2 linked regions of the Caenorhabditis elegans genome follow. The protein of the gene in region 1 interacts with the protein of each later gene in a pairwise test. Each region holds a gene or a part of one and is shown in the gene's direction. Other genes may lie near its edges.

Evidence for each region.
Region 2: the proteins of rps-19 (region 1) and abu-15 interact in a two-hybrid assay, tested with the Caenorhabditis elegans proteins (one large-scale study listed by BioGRID).

Annotation. Positions count from the first base shown.
Region 1 is NC_003279.8:9,622,409-9,629,851, reverse strand, and holds rps-19 (Small ribosomal subunit protein eS19), read left to right. Parts: upstream 1-4,055; 5' UTR 4,056-4,060; coding exon 4,061-4,271; intron 4,272-4,314; coding exon 4,315-4,484; intron 4,485-4,685; coding exon 4,686-4,745; 3' UTR 4,746-4,784; downstream 4,785-7,443. Other genes in the region: Protein hsr-9, read right to left, coding at 3-217, 264-1,303, 1,352-1,460, 1,508-2,713, 2,762-3,190, 3,235-3,301, 3,349-3,385, 3,553-3,577; T05F1.2 (F-box associated domain-containing protein), read right to left, coding at 5,246-5,442, 5,488-5,774, 5,821-6,083, 6,137-6,599, 6,645-7,096, 7,153-7,230.
Region 2 is NC_003283.11:5,154,328-5,162,084, forward strand, and holds abu-15 (Activated in Blocked Unfolded protein response), read left to right. Parts: upstream 1-4,274; 5' UTR 4,275-4,295; coding exon 4,296-4,520; intron 4,521-4,567; coding exon 4,568-5,509; 3' UTR 5,510-5,580; downstream 5,581-7,757. Other genes in the region: srx-38 (G-protein coupled receptors family 1 profile domain-containing protein), read right to left, coding at 1-26, 82-293, 340-563, 939-1,099, 1,151-1,189; srx-39 (G-protein coupled receptors family 1 profile domain-containing protein), read right to left, coding at 2,326-2,431, 2,474-2,604, 2,647-2,858, 2,903-3,126, 3,192-3,352, 3,395-3,433; abu-6 (Activated in Blocked Unfolded protein response), read right to left, coding at 6,351-7,292, 7,341-7,565.

The DNA of each region.
Region 1 (7,443 bases):
ACGCTGGCATATCCTGAGACTCGTCAAAAATTGAAGCACCTGCAGGAAGAACATAGTCCGTATAGTCGACACATTTCCCCTGTTCACCACATGCTTGTAACCATGTATTGTTAACACAAGGAACACCACGAGCTAAAGCTGCCAAGTACTTGTGAGTACGATAGTACGTATCAGAAATCAGCAATGGTTCGTAGTTGGAGTAACGCTCTTGGAAGCTCTTAAAATAAAATGATTAGAATGTTATTTGTAAGACGTTATCTTACATTAAGCTGCTCCGTGACGATCCCACCATTCTGAGTAATGAAGTTCATCAGATTCTTCTTTTTGAACATTGAAGGAACACTCGCAGAATTTGAACGATTGGCCGAAGTTAGCATGAAGACCTTTCCGGTGAAAATGTTCTTTCCAATAGCTTCCTCGTTCATTGGCAAAAGCTTTTCTTCTTCTTCAGCCGGACTTGCTGATCCTCCTCTAGAGGAAACTAGATCAACTCCCTTCTTCTTACGACCTTTTGGTTTTGCTTGATTAGAAACTGTAGTTGGCTTACGAGCACGAGTAGCCTCCGATATTGTAGTAATATTAGACGTAACAATAGCCGTAGCACTTTGATCTTTGCTTTTAACATAGTCTCGCCATTCTGAATGATCGAAAGAAACATCATACCAATCAACAACCTTCACTTCGTCAGTTGGTTCCCCATCTTCATCCATGATCGATATGGTTAATTTTCCTTTTTTCCATTCCGCAGCACTAATATCGTTAGGACCAGAATCCAATCGAACATCGGATTCGTTGTAGACTGCAGTTTTGCCAGGGGATAAAGCGCGAAGTGGAATGATTCCAGAATTTGGAACATCTTTAATGACGTTATCAACCGTGAATTGTACCTTGTATCTTCCGAGACCATCACGCTCCGAAAGAACGACAGCGGGATAAAACATCTTCTGAAACACAGCGTAGACTCGAGCTCCAGGAGCATGAGGTTCATTATCGTCTTGTGGATGATCAACTAGTAGTTGATCCTCATCAGATAGATTTTTAAGAGGAATAACTGGTTCTTTTTTCGCCGGAGGTGTTTTGATGTCAGAAGCTTCACTTTTTCTCTTTCTTCCACGATTTGACGAAGCTGGGGTAGCAGTTGCAGGCGCATCTTCCATTTCAATATCATTTTCGTGATGTTCTTCCTCCTTTTTAGCTCTTGATCTTCTTCCCGAAGTTCCTACAGACGATACTCTATGCTTCATCTTATCTTTACCAGGAGTCATATCAGCAAGAGAACGCCGATTCTTAGCAGCAGGAGAAGCTGAAAGCATAGATATTCTTAATTTCAAGAAACTACAAAACAACTTACATTGTAACTCAGCAATTCTAGACTCTGCCGCCTTCTCTGTCATAGAATACTTTGACTCTGAATTACCCAATTTGGCATACTTGACAGCACCAAAATTGTGCACTTCCATCTGAAAACAAGCAAAATTACAGATAAACATTAATTTTTAATTCTCACGTGAATATTCTTCAAAGGTTCTGGATGATGCTCCATTTCAGTATCAAGATCATATGGATCATATTCTGCACTTTTCTTGCTCGATGAAGGCGCACTTTTAGCTGCTCCACGACCTTTCTTTTGTGGTAGAGTTTCTTCAATAGTCTCATCAGCTTCTTCGATAGGGTCTTCTGTGATAGAACCTTGCTTCTTTCTTCCACGAACTGTCGTTCGTTTATTTGTCACAGCCGGCGTCACCGGAGCAGATTTTGCAGGAGGCTTAGCCCTTGTAGATCTACGAGATGATGTTGGAGTTTCGACTTTCTCAGCTTCTACACTTTCCATAGTTTCAGCATCAGCATTAGAACGCCTTCCTCGCGGAGTTCGGGTGGACTTCGCTTGGTTTGTATCGTGAGTTTTTGTAGGGTCTTCGGTTTCTTTTTCTTGCAAGTTTTCCTCATTTGCTTGCGACTTTCTTCCTCTTCCTCTTGTGGACCGCGGTGTTGGCACTGCAGACGAAGTTGCTGAAGAAGATGCAGCTGAACGTCTTCCACGCCCCTGTTTCGGAGTTTCTTCTTCAGTTGGATGTTCCGTGTTTTCAACTTCCTCGGTGACAGATGTGTCTTCTGTTGCAACAGAGCGTCTTGATCTTCCCTTGCGCGGTGATGTTTCTTCAACGCCAGAGTCGCCAACAACATTCTCCGTAGGATCAATTACTTCATCTCTGTCTCCACCCCTGGAAGATCGACCACGCCTGGGGGTGCTGTTACTAACAATGGGCGTTTTCGTTTCATCTGCATTCACTTCCGATTTTTGCCCACGACCACCACGGCGTGGAGTGTTTGACGAAGGAGTAGACGAAACAGTTGCTGAAACTCTTTTAGCGCGACGAGTGCTGCGGCTAGAAGATTGAGATTCTTGGTTCTCTTCATTTGCTTCTGATTCTCCATCTGGCGATTTTGAATCGAGACCAATTTTTTGAGAATCATCAACACTGTCTTGTGAAATCTCACCAACGCCTGGTTCAGACGCCTTGTCATCATTAACATTCTCAATAGGTTCACCACTATCTGCTTGCTCTTTCACTGGACTTTCTACTTCAACCTCATTTTCGGGTTCCTCTGTATCGTCCTCATTCTCTGGTTCTTCTTTCTCGTCGCTCACACTACCTCCTTTTGGAGAATCATCTTCATGCAGATCGTCGTCATCTGACGTTGACACTGCCTTCTTCAATATTAATTGATTAAAATTAGGTTTTTCGAATTATCAACAAACCTTAGTTTTCTTTTTTGGAGCTTCGTCTTCGTCGTCTTCTTGCACATCATCAATATCTTCTTCATCTTCATCTCCAACCACCTTTTCTTCATTTTCTTCAGGTTTCTCGGTATCATTTGAAACAGAAATCGATTCAGCAATGTCTAATTTATCGTCACTAGTATCCATCGAGATAATTTTTTTCTCGAAAGTTTCTCCCTCTCCTTCTTCAATTGGTGATTCAGACTTTTCCGAGTCGTTCATGCTTTCTCCAGATTTAGCATCCTTACCGGCTGAACATTGTGGCTCATCTTCTGCCTTTTCTTTATCAAGTGCAGTAACATCGGCAGCTACATCTGGCTCGTCTTCCGCTTCTATGATAACTGATGACTTGGTAATGACACTCGAATCGACTATGTGCCCATCAGGAGTTGAATCTCTAGCTGGGGTCTAAGTAAGCAAATTTTAGATTAATACAAACACACTGGACTTACAGAAATCACAGCAGAGTTCCCAAAAAGACTCCTACTTTTATCCAGAACTGAAGTTGTTGTGGGGAGGCTGAAATAGTGGGATAAATATGTATGGATACTCGAAAAGCAGGTAACCTTGTCTGTGTGACGGTGGAGTCGTCTTCTTCGAATTCTGAAAACAGAAAATAAAAGGAAAACTTCACGTAAGTTAAGTTTAATTTTTAGAGTCGATATTCACTTCGAGTGACCACCTTAATTTCAATAAGGTTGAATTTTATATGCTTGACCCGCAAAAATATTAATTAACCTTTCACATTCTTATTATATCGAAAAAATTACCCATAGTGTTCGAAGACGATGCCATTTTCCTCCAAGCAGTTCAGTTCTTCAAGTCTATGCTGTAACATATGTGTTTAATTTTGCCATTTTAAGCGTAAAAGTGTCTGCGAAACAAAAAGTTACGACGTCAAAAAAAATCGTTTGAAAATTCAATTCAAACGCCCGCCCCCGCTGTTCAAAAAATGTACTGAGTGTCGCCCGGTGCGTTGCGGTCGCGTGCCGAGTCGCTACGCAGCCAATTGGTATGCAGGTTATGTCTTACGATCAGCGGTGAAGAATTTTTTCGTTTCTTTTCCTACAGGTTTTTTCAATTTTTTGACGCGATTTTCACGGTTTTTCGAGTTTCTATGTATTGATTGGGAGGAAATATGTTACGTTTACAGTTTTCTTAAATAATATCCACTTTCTGAAGCGCTTGTTGTTAAGAATAGTTTTTTTGGCAGTGGGTTTTCTTTCCGTCTTCTAATATACGATTTTTTCAAAGCTATACTTTTCCTTTTCAGGTAAAATGACGAGAGCGACCTCCATCAAGGACGTCGACCAGCACGAGGCTACCAAGTCCATCGCTCACTTCTTGAAGAAGAGTGGAAAGGTTAAGGTTCCAGAGTGGTCCGATCTTGTTAAGCTCGGAGTCAACAAGGAGCTTGCCCCAGTCGATCCAGATTGGTTCTACACCCGTGCTGCCAGTCTTGCTCGTCACTTGTATTTCCGCCCCGCCGGTAACTTTTTATTGACAAAATCATTACTTATTTTTCTATTTAGGAATCGGAGCCTTCAAGAAGGTCTACGGAGGAAACAAGAGACGTGGTGTTGCACCAAACCATTTCCAAACCTCAGCTGGAAACTGCCTCAGAAAGGCTGTTCAGCAACTCGAGAAGATCAAGTGGGTTGAGAAGCACCCAGACGGCAAAGGAAGAATTCTCTCCAAGCAGGTGAGTATTCTATTTTATTATCTAAAAATATAAAATTCGAACTTTTTTGTAAAAATAAATTATTAAAAATTATTCATAAATATATGCGCTGAAAATTAAACATGCAAAATTAGATGTTTATATTAAAATTAAATTTCTGCATGTTTTCTTTTTTGAATTTTCTCGAAATTTTCAACATCGTACTAAAACTAAATTTTGCAGGGACGCAAGGATCTTGACAGAATCGCCACCAGCCTCAGATCCTCTGGACAACAAGCCTAAACACTCGTTGTTTGTGTTATAAATGTTGTTGTTATAAAAAACTTCATGATACATCTCCATTAACAAGAAAGTAAGATGATGGCGCAAATTATGAATCAGAAAAAAAAGTTATTAAAGAAAAACTTCGCCCGAAACGTTTGAATATATACACCTGTATAGTTCTCACTTTTTTGAATAGTGAAATAATCAGTCTACAAAATATTATACGTCTTTAGTGGACCTTAGAACAAAGCTACAGAACTTGAATACAATCATTAATATATCTACTTGCTCTTCCGAAATCAAATTTGAAACATTATTAGCAGAAACTAACTTCCTATTCTGATACCCAAATTATTTCGCTAAACATCGCGAAAGGCATTTCTGATAAAGAAAATAAAATACAGGGTTAAGCTATTTATGGTTTCACAAACTTGCGATCAATTGGAAGTCGGAAAAATTTTAAAGATTAGTTATCATACAACGATAGATACAATTTTTAAATGAATGTTGGTGGACATTTATTTAGATGTAGAAAAGCGGAATCTAGCAAGTTCGCATGCGAACTTCTCGTTGTGAATTGCCGTGAACAAAATGTTCTTCTTATCTTGGGAAATCTGGAGCAATGCACACGCACCTCCGTGCCAAACAGTCCTACCCGGAGTAGATGATACCTCGCCATTCGATGAAGTTCCTGATACACCCGAACCAGATCGGTCTAAAAATTCAACTTTTAACTAGAAATAATTATCTAGAAATAAACCTCGAGATTGAGTCTCATCACTTGAGTTTTGTTTACTGTGCTGCCCTGAGGACATGTTTTTGGATTCGGCGTTCGTCGGAGTAACTCCTGCTTCTTCTATATTTGATTCCGATGGAGGAGTCGAAGGTCCGGAACCAGGAAGAGAGCTTCCATACCCAGACGAAAGAGATTCTTTTTGAAAACCACGTGTCGATTGCAGGCCATCGGGACGCAACACTTTCCACTCACGATATAGAACGTACGAAATATAGTTGTTCTTTTCAACAGCCTTCGTAAGCGGAGACGATCTGAATTAAGAATAATCAAAACTGCCACAAAGAACTGATTCCTCACAACTCAATATCGCTTGTCTTCGAATATTGGAGACCATTCAAAATCGGTTCGCTCTTTGATAACGGGCAATCGAGATTGATAGTGACACTCCGCAGACGGTGACCCATCTGTCCGTTTGACCACATTTGGAGAAATTCGAGAAGTTCCGAATTCGGAAGAATATAACGGTTTAAGTTGACCTCAGCCAACGAGCTCATTCTTGCCAAATCGGTAAGAGGGTTCTCAATAGTATTCTCAAAGATGATTCGTTTCGCCCAGAAGATCTGAAAATACGATGTTTTATTTAAATCGGCATAATATTTTAAAAATATCTTACCGGATAATTGCAATACGAAGTCTTCTCTACCCAATTCGGCATCTCACGTTCTTCGAATGGAATCACGTACGGCATAACTTCATGGTGCATGACTGCATTTCTTCTACTACGATACTCCTTTTCCTCAACAAAGTCTCCAGTATAGTTTCGCGCAATTGTTACTTCTGGAATAGTTCGCATTGTGTTAATTCTGTTCAGCCACCAATGTGTTGATCCAGGCGCATTGTGCACTATTCTGAGATTTCGGATGTGTCTGAACTTTTCGATAGAGAAGAGCTGAGACCAGTATTTGACATCAATGTCTAGTTTTTCGACAAAATTCGCGTCGTGAATGTTGATGAATTGGGAAAGATACTGAGCGGTTTCATGAATACATCCTTGATTTCCCAACTCCTCGTGGAACGGGTTTGTAGCTGTTGGGTATTGGACTGGCCAATCTTCAGGTACAACCTTCTTGATATAACTGCAATGCTTATTTTTCAGAAAGGGCAATTTTCATAGAATTTACCTTCTACAGAAATATCGTCCATCGTGTTGCTCAGAGAAGTCAAAATGCCAAAGCTGGTAGACCTTCACCTGTTTATGTTCTCCTTCTTTACCCTTCATGTCCCATGTCTTAACTCTGCCAATTTCAGCATTGTATTTGACATACGTTTTTGGTAGAAACTGTTCATTATTTTTCTTTCCTTTCTGCTTCTTGTCTTTGACATCAAGAACCAATTTTTTAGCACGATTATCATCATCGAATCTAGTTTTCGTAGTTGTTGCCCGTTCAGAGCCAATCTTCACAGAGACGAGGATTCTTTCCGCTTCGATCCATTTTTTGAACCAGTGCCACAATCCCTTCAATGTTTCTTTTTCGTTTTCGGAGAATTTTTCAAGATAATTGATTTTGTCAAGAATTGGCAAATCCCGCCACGGCTTGTATTCGTTCAATTTCTTAACTTGATCGGCAAGTTTCTGAAATAATGTTTATTTATGTGAAGTTGTTCAAAAATGCACAATTATTTACTTACAACGTTGGGATTCTTTGTACAGATAAACGTGAAGTCGTCAATGAACTTTTTCTTCGGAATACTCATCGGCGAACACATTTTTGAGATTTCTTTGTGAATATGGAACAGAGAAAAACAACATCTCGGCAAAAAAGCGAGGATAACATCAAAATAGGAAAACTGGCGCCAAGATCAATTTATAGTTGAACCCATTTTCGTTTCGAGACCTTTCTTCCATCATGCGTGTGCCTTTAACTGATACGGTACGGTATTTGTCAAATTCATCCTCAACCCAAGTGTTTTTTTTTCATT
Region 2 (7,757 bases), on another chromosome or scaffold:
AGAACAAATAAAGTTTGGCTGAGGGACTGGAATTTTCAATAAATATATTTTTTAGTTTATGAAAACAGTTTTTGTGAATACCTGCTTTAATAAACTCAACTCTTTCGAGTTTTTGTCGGATTTCGACCGCATTTTCACCACTTTCCCAATTGCAGTGAAATCCAAAAGTGTGCTGGTAATGGTTAGAGTGAAAACTTGATAAAAATCCCCATAAGTTCCATACAAACTACAAATTGCCCCACCGGAATATTGAAATGCTCGGTATTCTGCGTTGTAGTAATTCTGGCAGCCCACTGAAAAGATGACTTGGTTTTTTTAATTGATAATATGAAAACTTACAAATTTGAAAGAACAAAGTGATAAGTATAAACGAAAGTAAGTAGGTAGCCATAACAATTAGTTTGGTAAATGTTATACTGAACATTTTATGATAAAGAACTGGAGTAAATACTGCTAGAAATCTGTTTAATGATATTATAAAATGAAAATATGTCGAAGCATCATAGCATATCATCAAAAAGTACCCACATAGATGGGACCAATAGTCCAGGAATTCGTTTTGGCTGAAAATGTGTAGGAATACTGTAGACTGGAGTACTGTAGGGTTACTGTAGTTTTGAAAAAAATGAGTTTTTGTTTTTTGAAGGAATATCGATATGGGGTTTTTGGAGTGTCGTCGAGTAGCAAAAAACATTTCAGCGGGATTTTTTCAATTTTTCAAATAATTTTGGCGGGAAACTTAATTTTCTTTGAGAAACTACCGCACTACTATGTAGATATACGGAACTTCTATAAAATTCGAGACATTTCTGTAAGATTGCCCAAAAGGCAATTTAACTGGATTATATGTATACATTTTCAAATTAAATTTTTTTGGAAAAACCAAAAAAAATACCTATTCAATTTTGCCCGACATATTGTTTTATTCAAAAACTTACAAAAACACCATAGGAGTTGCGTAAAACAAGTATAAAGTTGAAAATACTCCATCGGCAATTGCCAAACCAACAGTTAAAATAGCAAATGGTTTTTGCAATTTTGTAACCTTTATCATTAATATTACGATCGCCCAATTTGTGAAAAACCCGCATGAAGAAAACTGAAAAAAATATTGCTAAGTTGGAGAAAAAAAGTTCGAATTTCAGCTCACCACAATCATAATTGCAGCAACTATTTTTTCCGAGATCATATTTCGAAACAGAAAACAAGTATCCTAGACCAATAGATATTTTGACCTCAATCCACTTCTATTTATTGGGTGGAGTCAGTGCCACACCTGCCATTTAACGAGTACCTGCAATGAACCGAGCTCTGAGTTGATTAAATAGAAGTGCATGACAGAGTGAGGTAGAGATGTTTTGATTTTTCAATCGGTTAAGGTTTGTATTGGAGATTTTTTCGTAGACATATTATTTAAGCTGTTAAAAAAAATTTAATAAAATTCATGTTGTTCAGAGAAAATTCCTAATGTACGTATTACTCATCGTTTATTATACCCCTAACAGAACAATTAACTACCACCCTTTCTTGTTTACGTGTAATCGTCTCCCCACACAGTTTAAATATTCTCTAGTTTTTTGTTTGGTTTCACACACAAGAAACAATTCAGAAAGAATTAAAAATGGATGTTTCAAAAATACTGTTTTATATATACTATAGATTTGGGAAGGATGCAAGTTTGAATTCCCTTCCAATTAATTTCCTTCCACTCATTTTTGAACCAATCAACTTGACACAGTTTATCTGATTGGCTCCAGAAGAGTGGGAGGAACGAATCACTGATTGGCCTTACTGTTTTCATTTTGGGGGAAATTCAAACTGGGAGTTCATTCATACTCAAATTTAAATTGGAAGTCTAATATGAAAATATTAAACTTCCGTGGTGATAAAAACAGAAATCCTTTTTGTGCTCCATATAATTAAAATTTAATAAACTAGCTGGCAAATAAGTGGCGCAATTACCAGATTTTTTGCTTTGATTTTTGCATTTTCTATTCATTTTTGGTTATCTTATAAAACTATACATTGATGTACAATTTATCTAAGGAAAAGGAACAAAACCATTGGAGCACGCACAAAGTACCATATTTACGATTTTTTTTGATTTTTTTCCACTTTGATGATTTTCTTGCAGCTTGTTCTTAGAAGATGGGAACAAATGTGACTTTGATCATGCAAATCATAAATTTAAAATGTACATATTTTTTCTTTACAAGCACATGTTCTGAACCAAAATTCATGATATAAAAATAACTCAGTTCCTAAAACCCTAGACAATGACAATTGGCTTGAGCATTACAATTCCACTAACAAAGACCTCTATTCTTAATCCAATGCAGCCGATTTCGATCTAACAACGTTGAATGCCAGTGGCTGGCCGCTTCTGGAACAGCTCCTTCGGATTTCTGGATTGAAAATCAATGTGAAAAACCTAAATTAGAACTTTTTGAGTATTTAGAATATTTACAATTACCCATCAAACATATGCACTGAAGACCAGAGAATAGAAGAGAAAATAAAGGTGTAATCAATGTCTGGAATAAAACGCGGACCCCAAGTAAAACTACAAACGATTGCAAGAACAAATAGAGTTTGGCTTATGGACTGAAATTATTATTTAAAACAATCTATAAAGATCAATATTACCTGTTTCAACAAGCTAAGTTCTTTTGAGTGCTTTTCTGTTTTTGAGCTAATTTTTAACACTTTTCCGATAGCTAAAAAGTCCAAAATAGTACTGGAAATAGTCAATGAAAAAACAAGATAAAAGTCTAAATAAGTTGCATAAAAACGACAAACGTCTCCTCCAGAATAACGAAATGCTCTTGTTTCTTGGTCATAAAAATTTTGACATCCCACTGCAACTCTCCCGTCAATTTTAGTTGACATTAAACTAACCTACAAATTTGAAAAAATAGTGTTATGATTGTAAGTGCGTAGGAATAAATTCCCATTACTATACAAAACGTGAACAAAACACTAAACATCATACGATAAAGCATTGGTTTATACACTGCTAGAATTCTGTTAAGGGATATCATGAAATGAAAAGTTGTTGAAGCACTGTAGCAAATCATAAGAACATATCCACAAACACTCGAATAATTTGATAAAATATCGCTCTCGCTGAATGGAATTTTTATTTTAACTGTTGGCCTCGCTGAATGAAAAAAAAAACTTGTTCAACTTACAAAAATACCATTGGAGTTGCATAGAATAAGTAGAGCGCGGAAAATGTTCCATCAGCAATCGCTAGACCAACAGTTAAAATTGCAAATGGTTTTTGCAACTTTGTAACTTTTATCATTATAATCACAATTGCCCAATTTATTGTAAATCCACAGAGGGAAAACTGAAGGTACATCAATTTGTTTGAGCTACAATAAAATCTTACCAAAAGCATAATTGCAGAGATTGTTGTCACGGAAATCATGATTGTAATTTGCAGCCAACAGGAAATGAAAAAGTTAATGTTATGAATGAGAGAGAAATATCTGGAAAAATTGAAACTTTCTTGTCAGGCTCGAGTCACCTGGGCCGGTGGCGTTCAGCTACAATACAAACATAGTTTCTTTCACATTTCGCATAGATACAATTTATTTTTAAAAAATCCGTTAGGCTATTAACTAAATGTTTTTATACCTAATTTTTTAAACTTTGAAATGTGTTTCAAAGTGAGTTCAAAACTAAAATTTCAAACTCTAGAGATCCCGGAAGCTAGGAAATCCCAGAAGCGAGGCAGCAACCACTGTAGCTCTATACAATCAAATCGAAAAAATGTTCGGGTCTGAAAACCAACTTATGTCATGCATGACAAATCATGTAAATTAAATTAGAGTCGAAATTTGTCGTTCTTACATGTCTACGTGTCTATGTGGTTCATTGATTCTTTTGATTTTCGATTAGCTAGAACGGTTCAAAAATTTAAACAAAATTAAAAGATAAATCTTATAAAAATAGATTGCTTATCGCTGTTTGCCCTTGAAAACTAGTTCTCATGTGCGAACCTTGCGTGAACAAGGTCATAGAGCAAACTCAAACAAGACCTCTCTTCTTTGCTTGCGCAATACTACAATTTATTCCTGTATTAGCTCGGAGTTTTTTAGTGACTCGATAGCTTACTTGAAGCTTTAGGCGAACGCTTTTGCGCGCGGCCGCAAGAGAGAGTCACATTTAGAAGAGGATCAGGAAATTAGGAACTGGAACCGGTTTACTGAGCAGCTGGAAAAGTCATATAAAAGAGAAGAACAGAGCTTCATTACCATCCGATTTCCTCGGTTCGAATCATTATTAAAATGCGCTTTACTTCACTTTCTATTGCGTTCCTTGCATGTGCCCTTGTGGTATCTGGAAGTGCAATCCGTGAAAAGAGACAGTGTGGATGTGCTCAGCCACAGCAGAGCCAATGCTCGTGCCAACAAGTTCAACAGACTCAGTCATGCTCGTGCCAATCTGCTCCAGTTCAACAACAATCCCCATCCTGCTCATGCGCTCAGCCACAACAAACTCAACAAGTTCAGGTACAGTTCATTAACATATTCGCAAACCATTAAATCAAAAATTTTAGGTTCAATCTACTCAATGCGCCCCAGCTTGCCAACAGAGCTGCCAACAGCAATGCCAGGCTTCTCCATCAGTGTCCCAGTGCCAGCCACAATGTCAGCAACAGTGCCAGGCTCAATGCACTCCAATGTACAACCCACCAACCACTACTACCACCACCCAAGCTCCAGTTGTCCAATACCAACAGTGCCAACCAGTATGCCAACAGCAATGTCAATCTACCTGTGTTCAACAACAACAACCAGCAGCTCAATGTCAGCCACAATGCCAACAACAATGCAATGTTGCCTGTGATTCCCCATCCACTACCACCCAGGCCCCACAAGTGATCCAAATCCAACTCGAGATCCAACAAGCTCAAGCTCAATGCCAACCACAGTGCCAGCAACAATGCCAATCTTCATGTGTCCAGCAACAGCAACAATCCAACCAGTGCGAGCCAGCTTGCAACACTCAATGCTCTGATATCTGCCAACAAACTGCTCAGGCTACCCAACAAGTCTACAACCAGAACATGAACCAGAACACCAACACTCAAATGTACAACCCATACAATACCAACACCAACCAGAACGCTAACTGCGCTCCAGCTTGCCAACCAGCCTGCGACAACTCCTGCACTTCCCAGCAGACTCAGCCAATGTACCAACCATACGACACCACCACTGAAGCTCCAGCTCAAGTCATCCAGATTGTTCTCCAGACTTCTGTTGCTCAATCATCCCAATGTGCCCCACAATGCGAACAATCCTGCCAACAGCAATGTGTTCAGCAACAACAGCCAGCTGCCCAGTGCCAAACTGCCTGCCAATCATCATGCTCTAACTCATGCCAAGCTGCTCAACCAGCAACTACTGCCTGCCAGCAGAGCCCACAACAGAGCTCCTGCTCTTGCCAAGCTAACTACTCTCCATGCGGAAATGGACAATGCTGCCGCAGAAAGTAATTTAATTGTTCCTGATTCTTGATTTTTGTATATACCGAAACAATTCAGTTTCAATAAACGCATAACTTTTTAAACCTTCTCGCTTTAAAAATCTGACGTGACATAAAAATAACCAGAATAAACCAGTTGTTTTCGAAACACAACATGTTTATTTAAAAACTGTTAGCGTCTCTTCTTCGACTACATTTTTAGAAAATCTCATAAACATTTGTTCAGTTGGCATTGATACAGGTTTACGTATGTTCTATCTATTTCTGTACTCATTGAAAAATGCTCTCATCAAAGAAATATTTATAGAAAAGTTAGATTTACAAGAATTTTCTAGCTCGCCAGCAGGAGTTTAGAAACTAGAGATTAAAAAAAAAAAGCTCACTGATGAAGTATTTTAAATTCAATTTAGTTTCAAATCGTTTAGGTTCACGACTTTACGTGTTTCACTACCACACTGTTCCTTCATTACGAAAAATGTAATACGACCTTAGAAGTTAAAATTTATTTTAGCTTACAATTAAAATTGCTACATACTTTTTCTGATAATACTTGCGAGTGATAACTTTATAGCGATATATCAAAAATGTTTTCCATTTTCATTAAAATTAGTTTTACTTTTTTAGACAATCTGGTATCTTGATATGCAATACTCGTTACATTATTATTTCAGGCATTCACTTTAATAATATTTCACTGTTTCCGATAGTAATGATTATGCTAGTTTGTGAACCACTTTTCATTATACAGTGAAAACTTTGAGATTCTGGAAGACACTTTTTAAAAAGTTATGCGTTTATTGAAACTGAATTGTTTCGGTATATACAAAAATCAAGAATCAGGAACAATTAAATTACTTTCTGCGGCAGCATTGTCCATTTCCGCATGGAGAGTAGTTAGCTTGGCAGGAGCAGGAGCTCTGTTGTGGGCTCTGTTGGCAGGCAGTAGTTGCTGGTTGAGCAGTTTGGCAGGAGTTAGAGCATGATGATTGGCAGGCAGTTTGGCACTGGGCAGCTGGCTGTTGTTGTTGAACACATTGCTGTTGGCAGGACTGTTCGCATTGTGGAGCACATTGGGATGATTGAGCAACAGAAGTCTGGAGAACAATCTGGATGACTTGAGCTGGAGCTTCAGTGGTGGTGTCGTATTGTTGGTACATTGGTTGAGTCTGCTGGGAAGTGCAGGAGTTGTCACAGGCTGGTTGGCAAGCTGGAGCGCAGTTAGCGTTCTGGCTGGTGTTGGTATTGTATGGGTTGTACATTTGGGTGTTGGTGTTCTGGTTCATGTTCTGGTTGTAGACTTGTTGGGTAGCCTGAGCAGTTTGTTGGCAGATATCAGAGCATTGAGTGTTGCAAGCTGGCTCGCACTGGTTGGACTGTTGCTGTTGCTGGACACATGAAGATTGGCATTGTTGCTGGCACTGTGGTTGGCATTGAGCTTGAGCTTGTTGGATCTCGAGTTGGATTTGGATCACTTGTGGTGCCTGGGTGGTAGTGGATGGGGAATCACAGGCAACATTGCATTGTTGTTGGCATTGTGGCTGACATTGAGCTGCTGGTTGTTGTTGTTGAACACAGGTAGATTGACATTGCTGTTGGCATACTGGTTGGCACTGTTGGTATTGGACAACTGGAGCTTGGGTGGTGGTAGTAGTGGTTGGTGGGTTGTACATTGGAGTGCATTGAGCCTGGCACTGTTGCTGACATTGTGGCTGGCACTGGGACACGGATGGAGAAGCCTGGCATTGCTGTTGGCAGCTCTGTTGGCAAGCTGGGGCGCATTGAGTAGATTGAACCTAAAATCATTAATTTAGTAGTGTTTGAAATAAATGCATAAAAGGTACCTGAACTTGTTGAGTTTGTTGTGGCTGAGCGCATGAGCAGGATGGGGATTGTTGTTGAACTGGAGCAGATTGGCACGAGCATGACTGAGTCTGTTGAACTTGTTGGCACGAGCATTGGCTCTGCTGTGGCTGAGCACATCCACACTGTCTCTTTTCACGGATCGCACTTCCAGATACCGCAAGGGCACATGCAAGGAAGGCAATGGCAAGTGAAGTAAAGCGCATTTTAGTAATGATTCGAACCGAGAAAATCGGATGATAATGAAGCTCTGTTCTTCTCTTTTATACTACTTTCCCATACCCCCACCCTCTGTACCAGACCTGAAACTTCTTGATTTCCGCTCTTCCGTTCACTTTTCGTCTATGTGTCTCTCATTCTCTTTCCGGCCAAACTGTTTGCCTTATAAAAAAGTGTTC